Linked DNA regions of Astyanax mexicanus. The protein of the gene in region 2 binds, or shares a complex with, the protein of the main gene of each other region. Links are inferred from orthologs where the notes say so. Each region holds a gene or a part of one and is shown on either strand. Other genes may lie near its edges.

What was found.
Region 1: the proteins of nsun4 (region 2) and mterf4 are in contact, whole or in part, in a crystal structure (PDB 4FP9), measured with the Homo sapiens proteins. The link is inferred for Astyanax mexicanus from reciprocal best matches to the Homo sapiens genes NSUN4 and MTERF4. Residues at the interface, in NP_950245.2 of Homo sapiens: Pro61, Ser62, Arg64, Val65, Leu68, Ser69, Glu70, Arg136, Gly137, Asp138, Ile139, Arg141, Asn367, Leu368, Met369; in NP_872307.2 of Homo sapiens: Tyr267, Glu269, Arg270, Leu271, Gly272, Arg273, Glu311, Glu312, Val315, Phe316, Lys318, Leu319, Arg322, Glu323, Glu326.

The regions. Positions count from the first base shown.
Region 1 is NC_064411.1:30,156,013-30,163,343, reverse strand, and holds the start of mterf4 (transcription termination factor 4, mitochondrial), read right to left. Parts: upstream 3,006-7,331; 5' UTR 2,922-3,005; coding exon 2,901-2,921; intron 1,788-2,900; coding exon 1,406-1,787; intron 308-1,405; coding exon 123-307; intron 1-122. UniProt on the Homo sapiens protein: Regulator of mitochondrial ribosome biogenesis and translation. Binds to mitochondrial ribosomal RNAs 16S, 12S and 7S and targets NSUN4 RNA methyltransferase to the mitochondrial large ribosomal subunit (39S).
Region 2 is NC_064411.1:55,593,765-55,601,402, forward strand, and holds the start of nsun4 (5-methylcytosine rRNA methyltransferase NSUN4), read right to left. Parts: upstream 3,100-7,638; 5' UTR 3,078-3,099; coding exon 2,985-3,077; intron 1,387-2,984; coding exon 1,055-1,386; intron 1-1,054. Other genes in the region: cytochrome b-c1 complex subunit 6, mitochondrial, read left to right, coding at 4,282-4,329, 5,355-5,417, 6,256-6,417. UniProt on the Homo sapiens protein: Mitochondrial RNA cytosine C(5)-methyltransferase that methylates cytosine to 5-methylcytosine (m5C) in various RNAs, such as rRNAs, mRNAs and some long non-coding RNAs (lncRNAs).

The DNA of each region.
Region 1 (7,331 bases), about 25 Mb from region 2:
TGTGCATATATTACTGATATAACCCAAGTGCAAACTTTGAGGAAGGACAGTTTATGTTCCCAGGGTTTAGTGCACAATTTGGGACTAGGCTACTGTACTCATAATTTAAGAGTTTCTCGTACCTGAAACACGTACTCCAGACTCGTGTGGTCTTCCTGCAGGATGTGAGGCGAGTCCCTGAGGATGTCAGTCACCTGCTGAACTGTAAACTGGCACTTTTCTCTAAGGAGCCGAGACACAGCGTTTACTTTCTTTATGGGCAGAGACAGGATCTGAGGGTAGTGGCTTATCACCCTCTGCAGACTGCCTGATGACAGAGACCAGAGTTTACTAGCAGCTTTTGCAACGGAAAATGAGGCCGACCCACTCCAAACATTACACTTAATGTTGCCATTTACTTTCACTAATAAAAGTGTTTAATTACCACAACTGCAGAAAGAAAAGCTGGCTTATTGGCAAACAAAGTATAACAGGTTCTATAATTACAGACTGTAATCCTTCCTTTTTATGCACAATTTATTATCCTCCTCTCCCTTCTCTCAGTCCCCCCAGAACCACCACACGGTAGCTAATATTATTTGTATCGTGGGTGATTTATTCTCAGCACTGCAGTGACTGTACTGACATAGTGGTGGTGTATGAGGTGTTAGTGTGTGCTGTGCTGGTACAAGTGGATCAGGTACAGCAGCAGTGCTGCTGGAGTTTTTAAACACTGTGTTTAATCACTCACTGTCCTCCACTCTATTACACACTCGTACCTACAGCTGAAACACCTGTAGATAAAGTGAAGTCAAAGACAGAAGCACTGAATCTGTTGCTGCACAGTTTGTGTTGGTCATCCTCTAGTCTTGCCTTCATCAATAACCACAGGACACTGCCCACAGGACACTGCTGGCCAAAAATTTGTAGCTGGTGACCTATTTTCTGACCAGCAGTGAGCACTGAGGTGTTTATAAATTCCAGCAGCATTGGTGTATTTGATCCACTTTTTCCAGCACAATCCTATTTCCTTTTTGTACCCCTACCCCTTGTTTTTTGAGTTTAGCCCTTCCCCTTAGATAAGAATTAACTACAAGGGAAAATATTGAAATCCTTTTCTTAAGAATTGGGAAAAACTCTTCAAGCATCTGATACAGATGTTAAGCAGTGCAGTGCAACCTAACTGTTTAGGTTGCTGTTTAGGAAATTACTCAAACTTGTGAGATTCCTTGGTTGCTTGTGCCGCCATCTTGCCAGTCAGTGGTAGTGTCACTGCAGTGCAGAGAATGACCCACCTCCCAAATAATCCCTGCTCTGTGGTGGTCCTGGAAGGTCCTGACCATTGAAGAACAGAGTGAAAGAAATAGAAGGACTACACTCTGTAATTAAAGAAAACGGGAAATAAAGGGAAAAAAAGCCAGCTTACCTTCAAGCAGGCCGAGTTTCCTCAGATTTGCTATACGCTGCTGTAACTGAGACTCTTTCACCACATACAGGTCAGGACACTTCTCCAGGACCTTCAGCATGCTGTCGGGGTTAAAGCCGAGGACGAACAGACTTGTCAGTATCGGCACCTGGTGTTTGCATCGTTTCTTCTTTGCAACTTCATACACTACTTCAGCCTGGGTCTCAGAGAAACCCATTTCAGCCAAAGCCCTCATCGTTAACTCTGGTTCAGGATGCTGTACTTTAGGAGGTGGCGGAGCAGAACAGAACAGTCTGGGGATGCCCACTAAAGCTGCCTGCTGTTTAACAGGAAACAGCAGAGGACTGCAGAGAGAAACGCTCCTCCAAGTCCAGCGTAGGACCTGCCACAAAAGATCAAAATGCAGATGGGACAGGACATTTAGGATATCCCAAAAACACCTTCTATTATTTTTCCCCAAAATTGAATTATTAAATGAATTTTAAATATTACTAGTGATTACATTCATTTGTATTTAGAATTATTCGTATATTTAATATAAAATATATAATAATAACTGATGTATACTTTAGACATAATTCATCATCAATTACAGGATGCCCACATATTATTGACTGTGTTATAAAATCAGTGCCCCAAATTATACATTTTCTGTAGAGTATGTTATTTCAATAATTAACAAAAACAAAACAACGTTCAAATAAAAAATATGTGACCTGCACTCAGTGATATCTCTTCCTCTGGAGGGAAGTTTGTATATTTTTTTGATTATCATGTTGAGAATACACAAACAGTATATTAATTATTGGTCAAATCTGTTATGATATTTTGTAAATGTCACATTCAATTAATTAATATGTTTTTAACTAACTGAATAAAGAGGTGTGTTCAAATGTTTGAGTTGTCCTGTTTTTGAAATGCACATTGCTACTAGTCATAACTAATCAGAGATATGTTGAATTACCATTTGCAGTAGTCAAAATTGACCTATTAATATATGGACATAAACCTTTTTCTAGCCAGAATTACAGAAGGATATGTAGCTAATGATGTGAATACGACTAGTATTGCAGGGGTCATTTTAGGGTATTTTACAGCGACTTTCTATTTAATAAATGTTTTTTACAGTGTAAATATCTGTTATATCTACAGTTTTAAGTGGAACGAAGAATTAAAGCAGTAATGGAATAGCCTCAAAACACAAGCACACACACACACACACTCAGTCAGACAGACACACACTCAGTCACTCACACAGACAGACAGACAGGCAAACACACACACATACACACACACACACACACACAGTGCCTGCTGTTCATCTGCCCCACTCCTCAGCTAACCGAGCTAATGGCTAAGCAAAACCAGCCACCCAATAATACACGCTTTTAACACTTATAATGTCTAAATAAAGCAGTGTTTTAGTCACAGCAGTAATAACCTCTTCACACTCTAATTAAAACATTATTAAACTGTGTAAAAGTCTCTTACTAACCCCACAAGCCTGAGCGCTCATGTTTATCCGGAGTCAAAAACATTCCCCTAAAACATCAACCCTGATAAAGTGGTTCCACCACAGAAGCTCATTTCCCCCACGCAAAAACAACTGCGGTCAAGCCAGCCCCCACTGCAAAACGCTTGGTCAAACTAGCCCCCACGCTGTTTCTCAGAGCGCGCATACACTAAACATTGCGGCAAGCGTGAGAAGGAACACATTTCAAAATAAAAGCCCCCCCCCCCCCCCTTAATATCATTATGCTGTGGAGTGGTATTAAAAGGAATCCACATGATTTCACATGTTATGTCTGATATCACATGTCAATTTCATGTAGTCCTGGTAGTACACAAAATAAAAGCCCTGTAAATTATAAAAAAATATGTTATTTTAATAATACTACTACTACTAATAATACTAATACTAATAATAATACTAATAATAATACTTATATGTGTCACTCACTTAATAACAGGGCATTATAATGTGTCATTTCAAAATAAAGGCCCTTTAAATTATTACAATATTTTATTTTAACACAATGTTTAGACTGTTATTAAAAGGAATCTGTCTGACGTCACAGGTCAATTTCATATAGTCCTGATAGTACACCACGTGTATTTGTCACTCACTTAATATCAGAACATTTTGATGTGTCATTTCAAAATAAGGGCCACTTAAATTGTAACATTTATGTAATTTTACACAATGTTTAGACTGTTATTAAAAGAAATCTGTCTGATATCACAGCTCAATTTTATATAGCCCTGATAGTACACTACTTGTATGTGTCACTCACTTAATATCAGAACATTTTGATGTGTCATTTTAAAATAAAAGCCCTTTAAATTGTAACAATATTTTGTTTCAACACAATGTTTAGACTGTTATTAAAAAAAATCTGTCTGATATCACAGTTCAATTTCATATATTCCTGATAGTACACTACTTGTATGTTTCACTCAATTAATATCAGAACATTTTGATGTGTCATTTTAAAATAAAAGCCCTTTAAATTGTAACATTTATGTAATTTTACACAATGTTTAGACTGTTATTAAAAAAAATCTGTCTGATATCACAGTTCAATTTCAGATAGTCCTGATAGTACACTACTTGTATGTTTCACTCACTTAATATCAGAACATTTTGATGTGTCATTTTAAAATAAAAGCCCTTTAAATTGTAACATTTATGTAATTTTACACAATGTTTAGACTGTTATTAAAAAAAATCTGTCTGATATCACAGTTCAATTTCAGATAGTCCTGATAGTACACTACTTGTATGTGTCACTCACTTAATATCAGAACATTTTGATGTGTCATTTCAAAATAAAGACCCTTTAAATTTCAAAAATATTTTATTTCAACACAATGTTTAGACTGTTATTAAAAAAAATCTGTCTGATATCACAGTTCAATTTCAGATAGTCCTGATAGTACACTACTTGTATGTGTCACTCACTTAATATCAGAACATTTTGATGTGTCATTTCAAAATAAAGACCCTTTAAATTTCAAAAATATTTTATTTCAACACAATGTTTAGACTGTTATTAAAAAAAATCTGTCTGATATCACAGTTCAATTTCAGATAGTACTGATAGTACACTACTTGTATGTGTCACTCACTTAAAATCAGAACATTTTGATGTGTCATTTTAAAATAAAAGCCCTTTAAATTGTAACATTTATGTAATTTTACACAATGTTTAGACTGTTATTAAAAAAAATCTGTCTGATATCACAGTTCAATTTCAGATAGTACTGATAGTACACTACTTGTATGTGTCACTCACTTAAAATCAGAACATTTTGATGTGTCATTTTAAAATAAAAGCCCTTTAAATTGTAACATTTATGTAATTTTACACAATGTTTAGACTGTTATTAAAAAAAATCTGTCTGATATCACAGTTCAATTTCAGATAGTACTGATAGTACACTACTTGTATGTGTCACTCACTTAAAATCAGAACATTTTGATGTGTCATTTTAAAATAAAAGCCCTTTAAATTGTAACAATATTTTGTTTCAACACAATGTTTAGACTGTTATTAAAAAAAATCTGTCTGATATCACAGTTCAATTTCAGATAGTCCTGATAGTACACTACTTGTATGTGTCACTCACTTAATATCAGAACATTTTGATGTGTCATTTCAAAATAAAGACCCTTTAAATTTCAAAAATATTTTATTTCAACACAATGTTTAGACTGTTATTAAAAAAAATCTGTCTGATATCACAGTTCAATTTCAGATAGTACTGATAGTACACTACTTGTATGTGTCACTCACTTAAAATCAGAACATTTTGATGTGTCATTTTAAAATAAAAGCCCTTTAAATTGTAACATTTATGTAATTTTACACAATGTTTAGACTGTTATTAAAAAAAATCTGTCTGATATCACAGTTCAATTTCAGATAGTACTGATAGTACACTACTTGTATGTGTCACTCACTTAAAATCAGAACATTTTGATGTGTCATTTTAAAATAAAAGCCCTTTAAATTGTAACATTTATGTAATTTTACACAATGTTTAGACTGTTATTAAAAAAAATCTGTCTGATATCACAGTTCAATTTCAGATAGTACTGATAGTACACTACTTGTATGTGTCACTCACTTAAAATCAGAACATTTTGATGTGTCATTTTAAAATAAAAGCCCTTTAAATTGTAACAATATTTTGTTTCAACACAATGTTTAGACTGTTATTAAAAAAAATCTGTCTGATATCACAGTTCAATTTCATATAGTCCTGATAGTACACTACTTGTATGTGTCACTCACTTAAAATCAGAACATTTTGATGTGTCATTTCAAAATAAAGGCCCTTTAAATTATAACATTTATGTAATTTTACACAATGTTTAGACTGTTATTAAAAAAAATCTGTCTGATATCACAGGTCAATTTCATATAGTCCTGATAGTACACCACTGGTATGTTTCACTGACTTAATATTAGAACATTTTGGTGTGTCATTTCAAAATAAAGGCCCTTTAAATTGTAACATTTATGTAATTTTACACAATGTTTAGACTGTTATTAAAAAAAATCTGTCTGATATCACAGTTCAATTTCAGATAGTCCTGATAGTACACTACTTGTATGTGTCACTCACTTAATATCAGAACATTTTGATGTGTCATTTCAAAATAAAGACCCTTTAAATTTCAAAAATATTTTATTTCAACACAATGTTTAGACTGTTATTAAAAAAAATCTGTCTGATATCACAGTTCAATTTCATATAGTCCTGATAGTACACTACTTGTATGTGTCACTCACTTAAAATCAGAACATTTTGATGTGTCATTTCAAAATAAAGGCCCTTTAAATTATAACATTTATGTAATTTTACACAATGTTTAGACTGTTATTAAAAAAAATCTGTCTGATATCACAGTTCAATTTCAGATAGTCCTGATAGTACACTACTTGTATGTGTCACTCACTTAATATCAGAACATTTTGATGTGTCATTTCAAAATAAAGACCCTTTAAATTTCAAAAATATTTTATTTCAACACAATGTTTAGACTGTTATTAAAAGAAATCTGTCTGATATCACAGCTCAATTTTATATAGCCCTGATAGTACACTACTTGTATGTGTCACTCACTTAATATCAGAACATTTTGGTGTGTCATTTCAAAATAAAGGCCCTTTAAATTGTAACATTTATGTAATTTTACACAATGTTTAGACTGTTATTAAAAAAAATCTGTCTGATATCACAGTTCAATTTCAGATAGTACTGATAGTACACTACTTGTATGTGTCACTCACTTAAAATCAGAACATTTTGATGTGTCATTTTAAAATAAAAGCCCTTTAAATTGTAACATTTATGTAATTTTACACAATGTTTAGACTGCTATTAAGATAAATCTGTCTGATATCACATTTCAATGTCATATACTACTGATAGTACACCACTTGTATGTGTAACAGTCTAAACATTGTGTATAATTACATAAATGTTACAATTTAAAGGGCTTTTATTTTAAAATGACACATCAAAATGTTCTGATATTAAGTGAGTGAAACATACAAGTAGTGTACTATCAGTACTATCTGAAATTGAACTGTGATATCAGACAGATTTTTTTTAATAACAGTCTAAACATTGTGTTGAAATAAAATATTTTTGAAATTTAAAGGGTCTTTATTTTGAAATGACACATCAAAATGTTCTGATATTAAGTGAGTGACACATACAAGTAGTGTACTATCAGGACTATCTGAAATTGAACTGTGATATCAGACAGATTTTTTTTAATAACAGTCTAAACATTGTGTAAAATTACATAAATGTTATAATTTAAAGGGCCTTTATTTTGAAATGACACACCAAAATGTTCTAATATTAAGTCAGTGAAACATACCAGTGGTGTACTATCAGGACTATATGA
Region 2 (7,638 bases):
TATACATACAAGGTACATTTTCTTTATTTTATTTTTCATTTATTTTATTTTTTCTGTTCTGTGCAACAGAGTGAACTCTTGTTCTTCCTTTTTTTGGGGCGGTGCCGAAGAGAATCATGAAAATATGTGTGGGATCTTCCCACATCCATTCCCCCCAGTCCCATTTCCACACTCAGGGTTGCCAGGCATAGAACACGACAGTACGCAAACAGTACCAAATTGAAAACCTCTGGAATATAATCAAGAGGAAGATGGATGATCACACGCTATCAAACCACCAAACTGAACTGCTTGAATTTCTGCACCAGGAGTAAAGCAGCATAAAGTTATCCAAAAGCAGTGTGTAAGACTGGTGGAGGAGAACATGATGCCAAGATGCATGAAAAATGTGATTAAAAACCACCAGGGTTATTCCACCAAATATTGATTATTTCTGAACTCTTTAAACTTTATGAATATGAACTTGTTTTCTTTGCATTATTTGAGGTCTGAAAGCTCTGCATCTTTTTTTTTGTTATTTCAGCCATTTCTCATTTTCTGTAAATAAATGCTCTAAATGATGATATTTCTTATTTGGAATTTGGGAGAAATGTTGTCTGTAGTTTATAGAATAAAACAATTTTCATTTTACTCAAAAATAAACCTACAAATAGCAAAATCAGAGAAACTGATTCAGAAACTAAAGGGATCTCTTAATATATATATATATATATATTGATGACTGATTGTTCTTTTGAAGTTGTATTCGCTTTAATTTACTTAAAAAATGTAAAATACTGGGAAATAAAAGCTGAAATGTTGATATTTTGTCTCATATTTATCTTTTAAATGTTAAATCTAAAAGTTTTCAGTCTACATCAGAAATAAAGGGATTCTATTACTTTCTGAATTAAAGACCCTGTAAATATACCTGAAATAATACTAAATGCATATAAATGAAAAATGAATTAAATTGGGACATTATAAATTGAAAAAATATCGATTCTTGCTCAGTGTAATCTGCTTTAAATCTGATTTAAAGCTAAAAAACGTCTATAAAGCTGAGAATTCTTACCGTGCAGGTCTGAATCGAGAGATGTCTCCTCTGGGGAAGGTGAAGCACTGGATATGTGAGGTGATTGGAGCAGCAGTGGGGTTGTGGAGCTCTGGATCAGTAGAGAGATGCTCTGTAAGCGCTGTGCTGATGAAGTCTCTGCAGCCCTGAGTCTGTAGCGCTGAGATAACGTCTGAATCACAGGAGAAACTGTTCACTAAAGCTCCATACTTTTTCTCCGACAGCATCCCGACCCGAACCGACGGCCACAGATCACCCAGCTGCAGACTGTACGTCATATCAAAGTGATGCAGGGCGAGGTCAGAGGAGGCTACTTTAGGTCTGGTGCCGGCCTGGAGGAATATCAATCAATCAATCCATAAATCAATAAAATTTAATAATAAGATACAAATTTTCCTTAAAAGTTTTAAACAAACCAAAATACTCTGTGAAGAAGCATTTAGGTGCTCTTATTTGGGGTTAAGCTGCTAACTTGCGATTTCTGAGGCTGGTAACTCTGATGAACTTGTCCTGATAAGTGCCAGTTTCACCATTATAATATTTTTGATGGTCTTTTTTTGTAATAGCACTTAAGGATACTTTCAAAGTTTTTGAAATTCTTCTTTTCTGTATACCTGTAACTCTACCAAGGCTGTCACGAAAGGAATTTTCTCTGGGCGATATATTGTCCCAGAAATTATTGCGATAATCGATATTATTGTCGTTTTAAGACCATTGAATGTCACTGATATAATAATAACAAAATAATTATAACAAACAAAATGTATACCCTTTTTAAGAAAACATAATTTCAATAATCATAGTTTTGGAAATAACCATTTTTTCTCACTTACTGCAGTCCACACTGTGTGTATTATTGCTGGCTAAAATATTCTTGATTGTTATATATGCACACAAACATACAAATAAACCCAATAGACGATATCACAATATCAAATAAATCGATAATGTAATTATTGGGACAGGCCAACTCTACCTCTTCACTACTTTACTTTAACTGATGCTCTCAAACACTTTATTAAGAGACAAGAAATTCAAGTAATTAACTCTTGATGAGTTCAGCACAGCTGTTAACTGAAAGCCAGAATTCCAGGTGACTCTACCTCATAAAACTGACTGAGAAAATCCAGCAGAGATGTGCAAAACTTTCTCGATTTAAGCAAGAGGTGTTCGTTTTTGCATAATCTAAAATATATAAAATTTATTCTGATATTTTTCACACGTTCTATTTGTTTAATTAAATAATTCCATATGTTTCGTTTTCATAGTTTGAATGAGTTTAGTATTTAATCTACAATGCAGAACAAGTAAAATAAGTCAAATAATAATTAGATAGATAGATAGACAGATAGATAGATAGACAGATAGATAGATAGATAGATAGATAGATAGATAGATAGATAGATAGATAGATAGATAGATAGATAATACATATAGTTCAATAGTTCACACTGGAATAATCAGAAATAAAAAATACATATTAACATGTAAATAACCTTTACGAATTACAAAACATAATAAAAAATTAAAACCTTGATTTTTTTATCCCTAGGTAAATAACATGTTAAGTTAAATATTCATCTAAAAGTATAACAAAATATAAGATCTTTTTTCATTTTTTTTTTTTTTTGTATAGAATGTATAGAAGAATGTATAAGCTGGCCCATTTAATTTTACAGAACTACTTAATATCTGGTTACTGTTGTCCTTTACTATAAAGTAAAGAGGCTGTTTTGTATTCTACACATCAAAATCAACTTCATTTCGCCCCCTTCTTTACCTAGTGCACTAGATACGGAGCAGCTGATATTTGGAGCACAGCCCATGCAGCCTTAGCTAAGCTAAGCTAACTGGAGTGTTTGGCTTTATAGTAATACTACACTCACATTTTACAGTAAATATCTGCACCGCGTTAAAACCTAACACTTACCCATTTAGTTTTGACGCGGTTACGGCGCTGAATGAAACACACGGAGTGTTTTATTCTCTTAAACAGAAACCTCGGGCTAACGCTCACTGCCATCTTTACATCAGGTGTAACACTAACACCCGTCCCCTCCGCACAAATACCCGCACTATTAGTTCCTCTCTGCGTTAAATAAAAAAAACACGTTTTTTAGACTAGAGGAAAAATAAAACAAATATATTTGTAAATTTTAGCTTTTAATAGCTTAGTTATATTAAACTCTAACAACATAATACTTATGTTGTTTACTTGAGTAATATTTTTTACGAATTAATTATACTACAATTTTAATATTGTTAAAAAGGTAGTATATTGTAAAAGTACATTGTAAAAAAAATAAATTCATCATAAATTATAAAAAAATTAAAGGGGGATGTTTAGCAAACAGGTCATTGGTTAACAGTTTACAGCGGATAAGCAGCAATAAAAATAAAGTGAACAATTGGAAATAAATTTAAAGAGTTACTGCATTTACACACTTACACACAGCACATTCACACATTCATCGTAATAACTAGAAAAAGACACAGATAAGAAGAAGTAAAATAATTCTAAAAAGTAACTTATATATTTTTTATATTTGAAATGTCCAGGTAAATCTCAGGGAAATAAATAAAGAAAGAAATAAATAACCTTTTTTAGTTTGAAAAAGAGATTAAACACTTTTTTATTTTTTTTATCTTTAGGTAAATAAAATATTTTAGGTTAAATATTTATTTAAAAATATAAAATATACTATATTTTTTCTCCTTTTTTTATATATATATTTTTTTTTTGTTTAAACTTTCCTGAATTTCTAACTCAAATAATGTCGAAATGTTAAACTTTTTTATACACTCTCTTTTTATTTAATTTATATCAGTAATACAAACAGTTTAATAGTTCACACAAGAGTATTTGGAAAAAATCAACCAAAATATATATAAAAATAAAAAAAATATCCTTTACAGACTAAGCAAATAAAAATTAAGACAGATTTTTGCTCTTGTTTTTTTTTTTTGCATTTTTAATTTTACGCTAAATATACATTTTAATATATATATATATATATATATATATATATATATATATATATATATATATATATATATATATTTTTTTTTTTTTTTTTTTTTTTTTTTAAGAATTTGAAAAAGGACTTTTATCCAAGTAAATCCATCTGTAATCTGCTTCCTGCGAACTTTCTAGTGCGTGTTTTTAGTGTGTGTGACCTTTAGAAAGCTACTACAGAAAGTTTAGAGCTTATAAAGTGAATTAAATCATGGGGTTTGAAAGGAAAATGATCACTTATGGAGATCCCGATGACGAGGTTTGATTTTAAGCTTTTATTTTATGGAATTTAGACTTTAATTTTGAAGCTGGAGTTGGCTTCGTGTTCGAATTGTCCGTTCCACCTTAAACGCCAGACTGTAACTGCTGCAGCATTTAAGGTGGAACGGACCGTTCGAAAACGAGCTTCGGGAAAAGAGTATAAACTTTTGAACACGTGTTTAAAAATGAGTTTATTTGTTGTTTTAATGTGTTATATAAGTACAATTACTTGAAATGCCTCAACATGTTAGACTTTAAATCGATTTCTATTAGAGTTATGCTGATATTTAGCCTGTTGATAGAGTTTAGAGATATTATTTTTTATATTATTGTTTTTTTAATAATAATAATAATAATAATACTAGAAAAGAAAAAAGGTTTGTGAACGAACCTTAAGTTCATTTGAAAAATTAAAACTGTTAACTTTTGGTTAAATGCTAAAGTCTAAAAAGTTTGCATACAAAGGCTTTAATATGGTGAGAAAGCTATTAATGTTACCCAGTAGCTGGTTTATCCAGCAGCTCCTCTATAAACACACAGTAACCTCTAAAACGTCTGGAGTTCTATCAGTATACAGAATTCTGTGGTTCTAGCTAAATAACTGTGACCTGTAGAGCTGTTTGAATTATATTGGCAAAAATTTGTGGACACTTGAATGAAAAGCCTTAACACATCGACTGTACGAAAAATGTACAATATATTGATCCTAAAAGCACAAAAGCAACCTAATCAGGTATAGGTCCAACAAGCCTGCAAAAGTCTGTGTTCTACGTTAAAAGCTGTAAAAAGTTGTACATTTAATTTTACATACAAAGGCTTTAATATAGTGAGAAAGATATTACCTAATAGCTGGTTTATCCAGCAGCTCCTCCATACACACAGTATAAGTCCATTACCCCTGCTCTAGTTACAGTCTACAGTTGTTTGTTGGGCTGACCCACATGGAAGAAAACTTGGAGAACTCAGCCATAACATTAAAACCTCATAAATGAGCAATTTATTGATTTTGTTTCACTTTAAAAGGAGGAGGAATCTCCAGCTGAAGAAGAGGAGGAAGAAGAAGAAGAGGAAGAAGAAGACCTGGTGGTGAGTTAGTTGTTATTTGTCTTATCTGGCAAATGAACAAATAATCAAATAAATAAGTAGTTCAAGAGAAATAATGTGGTACAAAAGATGAATTACATGTATTAAATGTACTATATAAATGCTAAGAATATTATAAAGACGAGTGAGACTGACCTTAATGTACTGGGCTTTAATTGATTAATATTAAATTGTGTGGAATTAAAAAGAAGTGAAACTAAAAAAAAAATTTAAAAAAAAAAAAATATATATATATGACATTAGTTTTTATATCTAATGATCTACAGTATTAAACCCCTCACATTTCTGCAAATAATTAGAATTATTAATGTATAATAATAATCTTTTCATGAGACAACACTACAGCAATGAAACCTGGACATAATCTTCTGAAAATAATTTAACACACAGCAATTAATGTCTAAATATCTGCAAAACTAGTGAGTACAGCTCACAGTGAAAATATACAAATTGTGCCCAAAGTGTCAATATTTATTAAAATTCAATATCATTTTTATCAAGCACTGCCTTAAAGAGGCACTAAACTCCCTGATTTGAGCTGATTTCACTCTAAAAAAAAATAATGGGAGAGGTCATTTGAGAGGAGCACTGGGTGATGTATGGGTTTAGGGGCGGGGCAGGTAAAAATTTGTATAGTGTTTTAGCTGGGATGCTGCTATGAAACAAACAGTCCAACAATCAAACAGTTGTGCATTTTAAATTTGAACTTTTAATAAACCTCTATTGATGGCCCTGGTTTCTGATAAATTGGCCACTGACTGTAAGCAACACTTATCCTAAACACTGACTTTTGTTTATTTTATTCACTGTTTTTGTACAGGACCCGTTAGAGAGCATCCGGGAGAAGTGTGAGCAGACAGAGCACTGTGTTCACGCCAGGCAGAGGCTGGAGGCGTGTGAAGCTCGGGTCGGCTCGAGGTCCGAGACCACCGAGGACTGCACTGAGGAGCTCTTCGACTTCCTACACGCTCGAGATCACTGCGTACGTACACACACTCACACACACTCACTCACACACACACACAGACACACCCACACACACACAGAGTCTGATGTAGTAATACATTAATATAACAAGACATTTCCCTTCATAACAATGATACTGTGATTTTGCGATACTCTTTATTTCAAAATACAGTTCTCTACAATACTTCACAGCACCTGTGTTACTGATGATCAGGGGTGTCCAAACTTTTTTTGTTGGGGGCCAGAAGGAGAAATATATTTGAAGTCACGGGCCACAGACTCTGTAATAAAACAAATAATGAAATATACCACTTTAAATAATACATTTTCCTGATTATTTCATTTACACACCATTTTACTTGACTTACTATCTTTATATTTGACAGTGTTGTGTAAACAAAAAAACGGGGTAAAAGAGTCTAAACGCGGAGAGAGTGCGCATTTCTAGCGCACTCTCTCCGCGTTTAGACTCTTTTACCCCGTTTTTCTGCGCTAGAAATACGCACTCTCTCCGCTTTTAGACTCTTTGGCCTGTTTTTCTGCACTAGAAATGCGCACTCTCTCCGCTTTTAGACTCTTTGTCCCGTTTTTTGCGCTAGAAATGCGCACCCTCTCCGCTTTTAGACTCTTTGGCCTGTTTTTCTGCACTAGAAATGCGCACCCTCTCCACTTTTAGACTCTTTGGCCCGTTTTTCTGCGCTAGAAATGCGCACCCTCTCCGCTTTTAGACTCTTTGGCCCGTTTTTTGCGCTAGAAATGCGCACCCTCTCCGCTTTTAGACTCTTTGGCCTGTTTTTCTGCACTAGAAATGCGCACCCTCTCCACTTTTAGACTCTTTGGCCCGTTTTTCTGCGCCAGAAATGCACACCCTCTCCGCTTTTAGACTCTTTGGCCTGTTTTTCTGCGCTAGAAATGCGCACTCTCTCCGCTTTTAGACTCTTTGGCCCGTTTCTGACACCTAGCGTTCAAACTTTGAATCTCAGATTATAAAACCTGCTTAACAGCGGGCCAACTTTCATTCTATTTCTAAAATACCTCGCGGGCCGCTCCAAAAAAGGAAACCGGCCGCGGGCCGTAGTTTGGACACCCCTGCTAAAGAGGATAAAATACTCCTAAATAATCAAATAACAGAAATTGCAGTCAGTTTTATGAGGTAGAGTCACCTGGAATTCAGGCTTTCAGTTAACAGCTGTGCTGAACTCATCAAGAGTTAACTACTTGAATTTCTTGTCTCTTA